Oryctolagus cuniculus: one gene and its partners. The protein of the gene in region 1 purifies or fractionates together with the protein of each later gene. This does not show direct contact. Links are inferred from orthologs where the notes say so. Each region holds a gene or a part of one and is shown on either strand. Other genes may lie near its edges. The genes, in order: ENO1, TPI1 and PARK7.

Evidence for each region.
Region 2: the proteins of ENO1 (region 1) and TPI1 fractionate together in Homo sapiens (co-fractionation; 4 studies listed by BioGRID, with this or other methods). This does not show direct contact. The link is inferred for Oryctolagus cuniculus from reciprocal best matches to the Homo sapiens genes ENO1 and TPI1.
Region 3: the proteins of ENO1 (region 1) and PARK7 fractionate together in Homo sapiens (co-fractionation; 3 studies listed by BioGRID). This does not show direct contact. The link is inferred for Oryctolagus cuniculus from reciprocal best matches to the Homo sapiens genes ENO1 and PARK7.

Annotation. Positions count from the first base shown.
Region 1 is NC_091438.1:159,001,245-159,003,591, forward strand, and holds the end of ENO1 (alpha-enolase), read left to right. Parts: intron 1-70; coding exon 71-129; intron 130-1,332; coding exon 1,333-1,402; 3' UTR 1,403-1,713; downstream 1,714-2,347. UniProt on the Homo sapiens protein: Glycolytic enzyme the catalyzes the conversion of 2-phosphoglycerate to phosphoenolpyruvate. In addition to glycolysis, involved in various processes such as growth control, hypoxia tolerance and allergic responses.
Region 2 is NC_091440.1:102,652,209-102,656,602, forward strand, and holds the start of TPI1 (triosephosphate isomerase), read right to left. Parts: upstream 2,920-4,394; 5' UTR 2,658-2,919; coding exon 2,426-2,657; intron 1,356-2,425; coding exon 1,232-1,355; intron 1,117-1,231; coding exon 1,032-1,116; intron 952-1,031; coding exon 819-951; intron 529-818; coding exon 443-528; intron 174-442; coding exon 86-173; intron 1-85. Other genes in the region: USP5 (ubiquitin carboxyl-terminal hydrolase 5), read right to left, coding at 3,961-4,054. UniProt on the Homo sapiens protein: Triosephosphate isomerase is an extremely efficient metabolic enzyme that catalyzes the interconversion between dihydroxyacetone phosphate (DHAP) and D-glyceraldehyde-3-phosphate (G3P) in glycolysis and gluconeogenesis.
Region 3 is NC_091438.1:159,767,635-159,771,279, reverse strand, and holds part of PARK7 (Parkinson disease protein 7), read left to right. Parts: intron 1-584; coding exon 585-686; intron 687-2,720; coding exon 2,721-2,780; intron 2,781-3,556; coding exon 3,557-3,626; intron 3,627-3,645. UniProt on the Homo sapiens protein: Multifunctional protein with controversial molecular function which plays an important role in cell protection against oxidative stress and cell death acting as oxidative stress sensor and redox-sensitive chaperone and protease.

The DNA of each region.
Region 1 (2,347 bases):
CTGCTTGCCCGATAGTCACGTAGATCCCGCATCCACTGCAACTAGCCTGACCTTTGTTGTCTCCTTCCAGATCAAGACTGGTGCACCTTGCCGATCTGAGCGCTTGGCCAAGTACAACCAGCTCCTCAGGTATGCAGCGTTCCCGATAACGTAGGGCAGCCACTGGGGGTACTGCCCTCCGCCAGGAACCCCCGGCTCTGGGGTGGGCACAGGTCGGGCTGTGGCGCGCCGAGCCAAGGCCCAGCAGTCAGGTGGACTACAGGGCTCCTGGCAGCAGCTGCCCGAGGTGCCGCTCTGTGCAGTGCCGCCATCTTGTGGTGAGAGAACAGGACTCCTTAGCAGGTCAGCCATAGCCTCACAGCTAGCGGAGGATTTGTTGATTCTCATTGATCCTTTCTTGGGATGAGGGCACCAGGGCTTAGGGAGGTGAGGCAGCCTGCAACGTGCCAGACGTCTGGTTCCCCCTTCCTGGCTGCTCGTGTCCTGGGCAAGCCCCTAGACCCGGAAGACTTGCCCTGTGTTAGTGGCTTTTGTGGACTCGGGGGAAGAACACATCCACTTCATATAAGTTTTACCAGTTTTTAAAGGCTTATTATTTATTTATTTATTTGAAAGGCAGAATTACAGAGAGGGTGAAACAGATCGCCCATCCACTGGTTCACTCCCCAGATGGCCGCACGGGCTGGGGTTGGGCCAGGCAGAAGCCAGCATGCTGGAGCTCCATCCAGGTCTCCCACGTGGGCGGCAGGGGCCCCAGTACTCGGGCCATCTTTCACTGCTTTCCCAAGTGCATTAGGGAGCTGGAGCAGCTGGCAGTGCAGGTTAACCCGCTGCCCCGTTTCCTAAGTTCTTGTGTCCTGTCCCTTCCTCCTGGAAGCTTCCAGACACGCTCAGCAGGGTGACCACAGGAAGTACTCCTTCCCCATCCCCCGGGTATGAGGCTTGCCACGCACTTTATATTTTTGCCGGAACGTTTCAAAACAGATTCTGGGTATTTTGTCATTTTACCTGTAAATGTATTTTGGGGGAGGTCTCGTTTTAACATAGCCGAGATCAGTAGCCGCTCTGCAAGGTCAGAACCAAGTCTGCACTCCGCCCATTGTCTCTGTGCCCTGTTTACTCCCGGCACTGTGTAGAAGCCGGGCGCTCCTGTCATTGCATATTTAAAAGTTGGGCTGTTCACAGTCCAGCAGCCTGGAGGGGCGGGGGCAGCAGAGTGCTGGGCTGTTCCAGCGTCTCAGAAGCTGGACTAATTGGAGGTCCGGGCCTCACCTGTAGGGGGCAGCCTTGTACCACACTGAGATCTGACTTTCTCTTCTCTTCCCTTTCCAGAATTGAAGAGGAGCTGGGCAGCAAGGCCAAGTTTGCTGGCAGGAACTTCAGAAACCCCCTGGCTAAGTAAGCTGTGGCCCAGAGAGCCTGAGCCGTCAGCCCCAGCCGGCTGATGGGATCCTGCCCGACGCTGGTGCCGGCAGCGCCAGGCCCCCGACCAGTGCTCGCTGGGGCCTGCGGTAGTTAGCTCCCCTCTCCTGCCACCGCTTCTTAGAACTTGGGCAGAAGCCAAGCTCGAGCAGCTGGACCCCGTTGGGAACCCAGCTCTAGTACGTCGTGGTTCCTCACCTGCTTCCCGCCAGCCCGGGAGCTGCGTGCTCCTCCCGTCACCTCCGAGGTCCCCACAGGCAGCATCTGTGCAGAATAAAGAGCCTCAGTGACTGTGACGGTGCCGTGTGTGGGCGGGGCTGTGGGCAGGGCAGGAGTGGGTGGGCTTCGGTCATGGCCAGAGCCAACAAGAGGGGTCCAGAGGACTTTCACATAGGGTCTCGGGAAGGGCTGTTGAGGTCAAAGGTGGGAGGACCACTGGTGTCCCTCGGGAAGCGACGTCCTCTGTGAGTCCGAGCTGGGAGACGTCGGGGCAGACATTTGGGACAACATACAGGTGAACAGCCCCTTACAGCTCAGCCTCGGTGTGGGGCTGCTGGTCCCTTGAGCGTGTGGCAAAGTAGACTATGGTGTGTCCCTGCGGAGAGCAAGTCGCAGAAGGGTTAACAAAGGGGAGGTCCCTGCGCCCCTTGCCCTGGCCTGCAGGGCTTGTTTGCTCAGAGCCAGCTTCTAGGGGTTGGGGGGCCCAACCCCTGGAGGGCAGTAGGGGAGGGTCTCCAGGCCTTGGGTGGGTTTCTTCTCTTGAGGTAACCTCAGCCCCGCTCCTAAGACCTGGCTGATTGTGCCAGGCCTCCGGGGTCTCCAGGATGGACACCTTAGTCTGGGGGGGTGCTGTGCTGACAGCCGAGGCCCCCACCCGCCCACCCTGCTGCGGCCTAGGATTGCTCTGAAACACTGACAAGCAAAG
Region 2 (4,394 bases), on another chromosome or scaffold:
AGCTTGGTTGGGATCTGCATGTCTAAGCAGGGATCAGTCTAGGCCTGAGCCCACTCCACCCAAGGCTGGAGCCGGCCCCGCTCACCTCCGTAGATGATGCGGGTACTCTGAGCCACAGCGTCAGAGACGTTGGACTTGAGCCACCCTCGGAGCTTCTCATGGACTTCCTGGGCCTGGAACAAGAAGCCAGACTAGGTAACACCCATTCCATTTCCAATGCCTCTTGCTCTAAGGAAAAACATCCCTAGCAGAGTGGAGACAGTTCATGTGGTTTCCAGGCAGGAGCCCTGGGATCTGAGTCAGGGTCCCAGGCCTTCAGTGCTAGGGAGGCCCTGCGACGGAGACCCTGGGCAACTCGATTCTCCTCATCTTTCAAACGAGGGGCTGCCCTGGGTGAATCTAATGCGAGACAGGAGAGGCCAGGGCTCCAGGGCTAGGTTACCTGTTGGGGTGTTGCAGTCTTGCCGGTTCCGATGGCCCACACAGGCTCATAGGCCAGGACAACCTTGCTCCAGTCCTTTACGTTATCTGAGGACAGAGAGCAGAGATGGAGGGAAGGGCGGGCAGGGGGAGCACCCCGCCCAGCGCCCCAGAGTATGCACAGTGATGAGGGTCTACTGCTCCCTGGTGGCTGCTGGAGGACCTCCAGGCAGCACCTAGACTTTCAGGGGGAGGAGCAGAAATGCTAAGGCCCCTGGCAAGGAATCTCTTTTCCTTTCCTGAGCCAGCATGGGGATCAAGTCAGGCCCAGGTATCTCACCCCACCCTCTGTGGCTGTGGCCCCGGACGAGGCTCGGAGGGCCCCTCCCCAGAGGTACCTGCGATGACCTTGGTTTGCTCAAACACGACCTTCTCCGTGATGCCAGCCTCCCTTTCATCCAGCTTCTCCCCGATGCAGGCAATCACACCAAGGCCCTCTGACAGGGCGTGGGCCACTTTCTGCCCAATCAGCTGTCAAGGAAAGACGTGGTGAGGCGTTCCTCATTCCTCCTGGGATAAGGCATCTCTTACCTCTTCTGCTGGCTACTAACCTCATCTGATTCCCCAAAGACATGCCTCCTCTCAGAGTGGCCCAGGACCACCCACGTGGCTCCACAGTCTTTGATCATGCCAGGGCTAAAGAAGACAGAAGGCCACCGGTCAGCAGGGAGCCACACCCTGTGGCTTTGCCCTCAATGAGCAAAGTGAGGGAGTGGTCCCCAGACTCCCCCCCTCTCTGCCTCCACCTCACCTGATCTCCCCAGTGAAGGCCCCGTTAGTCACTTTGTAGCAGTTCTGTGCAGCCACAGCAATCTTGGGATCCAGTTTCTGCCGGGCAAAGTCAATGTAGGCAGTGGGGGGTGCACAAACCACCTCTGAGGACGAGAGGGGGCACAGGATCAGATCAGAGGAAGCCTTCCCTCTGCAGACTCCTGGCCTCCTTGGTTCTGCTTCCCTCCCTCTCCACTCTAGCAAGATGACCTTTGCCCACTTCCCAGCCAGCTAGGCCTGCACCCAACTCCTGCAGCTTTCCAGATGCCCCCGTCGGGCCGCGGCCCTCACCCTGCCCTCTGCTCTTTAACAGCTGTGGCTCCAATTTCCTCAGGCTATTCTGGGCATGGGCACCTCCCAGACTCAGCATTCTCTGGGGCCAGCCCTGCCTCCCTTCTAAAATAGCCCACCCCTACTTTGCCCAGCAAGGCAAGGATTTCTTGGCAAAAGGGAAAGGGTCCAACTCCTCGGGTTTGCACTGGGGTCTTTGGGGAAGAAACCAGGAAGGGATGCCTCTTGGATGAGACCCGTGGTTCCGTGATTCGGGCGGGTGAATGGGCAAGGATGGAGGCTCGCGCTCTGCCCCTGCCGCAGGGCGCTGATGAGCTCACAGCGGCCTTGCGCTTTCCCCCTTCCAGCCTGGGGAAGGCTGTAGGCCAGCTCCTCGCTCCCAAACGGCTCGGGCCCTCCTTTGGAAAGCAGAAGCCGCTCAGGCAGCAGAGGGGAAGGGATCGGAGTGGCTGGGCGCAGAGGCCTCGGCGGGGCGGGGAGGAGTCTCGGGCTACGTGCAGCGGCGCACGGTGCCGGCGCCCAGGAGCAGGGGGCTGGAGGCCCGCGCAAGCCCAGGCCCGACCCCCGCGCGGGGGCTTGCAGCTTCCTTCTCCCTATCGCCCAGAGGCTCAAGCTCCGTTCCTACCCCCCTGAGCCTGGCTGGTGCAGCCCCAGCCCGCGCCCCGGGGCCATCTTCTCTCAGGGACCCGAGGAGTCCTTTGGGGCCCCCGCAGCCCGCGGTCACTGTGAAATGCCCCGCTTCTCCCCTTCTGGCATCGCGGCTGGCGGGCCGCTGTGCCGGGGGCCAAGGCCTGGACACCCAACCGCCCTGGTCCCCAGCCCTGCACCCAGGTCCACGCGGATGCCGGACTCCCCCAGCCCGACCCTTTCTGCGAGGCCTCACCGGTGTCGGCCGGCACCTTGGCTGCGTTCAGGGTGGTGATGAGCTCCCCCAGGTTCTTCTTCCTTCCGTTCATCTTCCAGTTGCCCCCAACGAAGAATTTCCTGGAGGGCGCCATGGCGCTCGGGCCTGCACACTGAAGGTCAGTCCCGCCGTGCGGCCGCGGCTGCGGCCGCTGCCGGCTTATATAGAAAGCCGAGAAGCGGAACTCCGCCTCCTGCCCCGTCCCCGCCATGGCGGACCCGCCCCTGCCTCTCAGCCCGCCCTCCAGCCCGCCTGCTGGCGCAGGGCTCTGACGTCGTCTCCCCTTCTCCTAGCAACATTCTGGGGGCGTCCGGGGGCTTGTTCAGGCGCTTCTGCAGAGATTGCCCGACTTCGGGAGAAAGCGGAACGGAGAACTCCTGCGACCGGGGGGACCCACTGACGACCTCAGCCGCCCAGAGGCCCAGCGGCGGCTCCAACTTGGCCTCGCTCAGACCACATTGCTCAGTGGGGCTGAGAAAAGCGCTGAGGGTGCATCTCCAGCTCTGGGACAGAGAACCCTCTGGCCCCATCAGAGCAGCTCCATCCAGCTCGTCACAGGCGCCCCAGGAGGGCTGCGGAGGCGGGGGGGGGGGGGGGAAGCCCACGCCGCCAAGAGGTGGTTTCGAAGCTGCAGTAGCCCCCACCCGCAGGGGCCCCCCGGCCCCCTCTTGGTTCTAGCTGGCCAAGGCCAGCCAGGGGCTGAGGCCCCAAGCTGAGAACCCGCTGGGCCCTGGGGGCATTTGGGGGCTGCTTGGACCCCCTTCTACGTGGCTGCCAGAAGGGCTCTTCACCCTCCTCTCCCCTTGGCTCTGCACTTGCCCATTCTCCATTTCCCCAGAGCTCTGCGACTAGAGAAAAGCAGAGCTGTCTGTGCAGCACACGGAAGGGCACGCGGCGACGAGCTCCCCCAGCTATCAGACCGGCCACAGTTTAGCCACTGTACTTTTATTCACATCGTGTATTTTGGCATTTTCCACAGAAGGACAGGGAAAAGACAGGATGGAGGACTGAGGCAGGAGGGCAAGGGGGGGTCCCCATGTCCCTCATATCCCTCCTTGCCCAACCGCACAGGGGCAAACACAAAGGGGGAGGGGAGTCACAGGCCCCCACCCCCTGGAAGGGATGCACAAGCTACACCCACACCCACCCACCCACACTCTCACGCACGGACACTCACACGCACGCACACACACAAGACCCTCCCCTCCACACCAGGGGCCTGGGCAGGGTGACACAGAGAAGCAGAGCACTGGATTCAAGGGCCGGGAAGCAACAAAGACTCTGACAGACAGGCGGGCAGCCCCCTCCTGTCCCCTCCCTGCTCTATCCCCCGAGTCTAGAGTGCCCCTCCTCTCGGCTTGGCCATGCTCCTGTGGCCTCCAGCTTTCTTCCAGCTGCTGGGGACAAAAAGAAAAAGGGTACAGAGCAGGGGGGCGCAAGTCCATCCCGCAGCCCCTGTCCCTCATGCCAGGTGGCCAGTCCCCGCCCTCAGCGTAAGGGGTGCGGGCGGGCTCTTAGCTGGCCACTCTCTGGTAGAAGTAGATGTAGCCCAGGTCCTTAGGCGGCTTCTCGGAGGCACACACTTTCTGGTCGTTGTAGATCACCCATCTGGAGGAGTAGGGGAGGCACAGAAAGGGGTGAACACACTGGGCATTCCATGTGGCATCAACTTAAGTCTCAGACACAGCCCTCACCTGGTGGGTCTGGGCAACTGTCTGCCCGGATCCCCAGTCTGCTGTCTGAGGGAGCGCTGTCTCGCAGGGCCACTTCCCCTATTTCGTGTCCTCAGATCCCCGAATCTTCACCACCACCCCCATCCCTTCTGGGGGGCAGGGGGTCAGCAGACCTCCTGTGAAGGGCCGAGGAGTGCTGCAAGCCACCTGGTTACTGACACAACTACTCAGCTTTCCTGCTGCTGTGTGACCACAGACAAGCAAGGGAGTGTGGC
Region 3 (3,645 bases), about 770 kb from region 1:
TGTTTGGTGCCGTAGTTAAGATGTTGCACACCTGCGTCCCGTGTCAGAGTGCCTGGCTTGAGCCCCACCCCCACTTTCAGTCCAGCTTCCTGCTTATTGTGCCCTGGGAGGCGGCAGCAGGTGGTGGCTCAAGTACTTGGGTCCTTGCCACCATGTGGGAGACCTGGATTGAGTTTCCGACCCCTAGACATTTGAACCAGTGGATTGGTGGCCTCTCTCTCTCTCTCTCTCGATCTCAAATGAAAAGAAATCATAAAGTTCTAAATGGCAATAGTAACCTTGTAAGATTATTAGAAGGAGTTATTAATGGGACGGTCCTATAATGTATTGCCCAACTGGAATGCTTGTAGGAGAAAGGGTGTTCAGCCAGACATGGTGCTAGGACAGCAGCTGTAAATTGGGACTGTCAGGGAATGGGGATAGACCTAGTTATTAAATACGTTTAGCTAACATATTAGCTCAAATTCAGTGTGGTTGGCTTGTAGTATTTCCTGTCAAGTTATTTTAAAATGTAGGGCAGCTGTGAAAATGTCATTCTAAATGTGTCGGTGTTCTTAAATATCGTGATGACTTCTTTCTCGTAGATTAAGGTCACTGTTGCCGGTCTGGCTGGGAAGGACCCTGTACAGTGTAGCCGTGACGTTGTCATTTGTCCTGATGCCAGTCTGGAAGATGCAAAAAAAGAGGTTTGTTCTCCATTTGTGGAATGATTCATCTGACTTTGTTACTAGTTTCCTGAAATGTCTTGTGAATACGTCTAAGACTTGGTAGCACAGACGTACTTTAGAAACTTACTTTGCTTGAATGTCTTTCCCAGTAACTGTACTGGGAGGGCAGGGGCTTCACCTTTCCACTCCGTCGTTGTGGAACTCCTTGATGCCACGGTGCTTGGCGTGTTGGGGGCGGGGGCGGGGGGGATGCCTTGCTGAGGCACCGGAGGAAGCGTTTTCCTTACACAGGCATCCTTCCTCCTCTTCTGGTTTTTGGAAAGGCAGAGTGACAGAAGGAGAGACAGAGAGGCAGATCTTCTATCTGCCAGTCCACTACCCAAATGGCTGCAACAGCTGGGGCTGAAGCCGGAACTCCATGCCCGTCTCCTATATGAGCGGCAGGGGCCCAGGGACCTGAGCCGCCATCCATTGCCTTCCCAGGTGAATTAGCAGGAAGCTGGATTGGAAGGAGAGCAGCCTGGACTTGAACCAGCATCGATATGGGATGCTAGCGTTGCAGGCATGGCTTAGCCTGCTGTGCCCCGATGCCAGCACCCTATTCTAACTTTTTAATGCACTAAATCCTCTCTCTGCTCCCCTTTGTTAAGCGACCTTTTACTTTTTTCTCTATAGTGACACAGATGGCCTGTGATTCATTTCACGTGGAGCAGCTCAGACTTGATTAGTGTTGGGATTAAGGAAGAAGTAAAGAGATCTGCTTAACCTGTGTCACTTTTTCAGTATCTAGAATTATGGTTCGTAACTTGCAAGGGCGATGGAGCTGGTTTCCCTGCCCAGTTCGGGGGACAGGAGGTGGGCTGTGCCCTCCTGGAGCAGCTGCATGGAGGGAGGGAGGCGGGGCCTGCTTCCATGCGGAGCTGGCCTCAGGTAGTCCATCGCCAGGTTTCAAGAGTTAGAATACTGGTCCTCACAGCTGGGTTGTTGAGTAGAAGTAGCTTTGTTCCTCAGTGTTCTTGTATCCTGTCGTGCCGGGTATTCCCATCAGCAGGTATCTTTCGTAGGTATTTATTGTTCATTCCAGATTCCAGAAAAATTCTATACGTCACATATTTTATTTTTGGGTTTTGTTTGGTTTTAAAACTACAGTAAGATGCTTACGATCTTAGTTCTAAAAAGTGTGTGTTGTACTGAGTGTATACTAAGTTCTCATTTGTAGTTTGTTTAATGACTAACAATTTTCTTAAAACTTTGAGCATCGTCAAGTGTTGTTCAAGCAGTTTCCATTTTGTGTCTCCAGGGCTTGACATTAATGAGCTCTCTAGGTGTTTTAGTGTCGGAGATACTAAAATATCGCATCATTTTTCTCCTCAAGTTCCATTTTTCATAAAGTTAAAAATATTTTTCCATGCCTTTTAAATTTTCTCTTGTGCACATGCGTGTTGAAGACAGTTCACACGGTAGAGTCCGAGTGTCAGGTGTCCCCGTCTCGTCCTGCCCGTCTCCCTCCACCCAGCCCACAGAACATCCCTTTGTGAGTGCCTGTGTGCACACATGAGCAGGTGTGTCACGTCCATACACACGTACACATATAGTACATGCTCATATGCATGCACAAAGACTTCATGTTTTATTTCATGTTTTATCCGTGTTTTGTGTATGAGCACCTGTGTGCACATGCGAGCGGGTGGATCATGTTCATACACATGTACACATAGATTACATGTGTTTGTGTCTTATCTGAGTCCCTGTGTGCACACACATGAGACCTGACCATACATGTGGGTTACCTGTGTTTTTGTGTTTGATTGCAAGTGACACTGTCCGCACCTGTCGCTCTGCAGCGTGGCCACGCTTACGTGTTCCGGCCATGAGGAGCCTGTGTCCTCTGCTGACGACAGCGGTGTCGGGGCCACCGTTATCTCACTGTGGTCCCACTGACAGGTGTACCTACACAGGTTCCTGCCTGTATTTTGCTCGAGTCCCACGTGTAAAATGTGAAAGCGTGGTTAGATTGTCACCGTGTTTTTTCTCCTTTTTGAACTGTTTCAGGGCCCGTATGATGTGGTCGTCCTGCCGGGAGGTAACCTGGGTGCACAGAATTTGTCTGAGGTAAAAGCAGCAGGGCGGGGCCTGGGGACACAGGCGGGAAGACTGAGGAAGTGTGCACTCTGTTGGTTACATTGTAGCTCAGCTATTTCAGGGAGGGGCTGTGGATAAAATGGAGACCACCCAGAGGAACATGCGTGTTCTAGCCTTACTGCAGACGGCATTTCTAGTCATACTTGCCGTGGAAGTGCACTGAACTGGTGGAGTGATTGTTCACGAACAGGTTCTGTGAATGCAGCCCCCAGTGAGATGCCTGTTTCCCGCGCCAGCAGCAGAGTCACTGGGCTTTGTGTTGGCGAAGGGTCCAGCCTGGACTGCCGTGCGGCCGCCCGCGACCCTGGGGTTTGCAGGGAGCCGTGAGGGCTGGCACCGCTACTGTCGGGGGCTCAGCCTGCCCAGCAGACGGGAGAGCAGTGTTCCCGCTGGCCTTGACTGCTCCGCCATCTGGAAGCGCCCCAGACCCCACATTGCCTCCTCCTGCCCACTCTCACCCTGGGAAACAGGAAGGCAAGGGGCAAACCAACAAAGTCGCTCTTTCCTTCCTGTGTTTGAAGGTGGAGGGATAAGGTTCCCTTAGGACAAACCCTCTGTCGGGCCAGGGGTCCAGACACACCGTGCATGTGGTCACTGTTAGGTTAGTGATGGACCAGTGGTCCTAGGATGGTAGATCGCTGGTCTCGTGAGCTAAGCTCAACTGAGGTTCTGCCGCCGCAGTGTCCAAGCAAGGGATTGGTGTAACGGCCCCATGGCAGCCTGACGTGTTTCGGTTTCTTTGACAGTCTGCGGCCGTGAAGGAGATCCTGAAGGAACAAGAAAAGAGGAAGGGCCTCATAGCGGCCATCTGCGCAGGTACCGTGCCTGGGGGCTG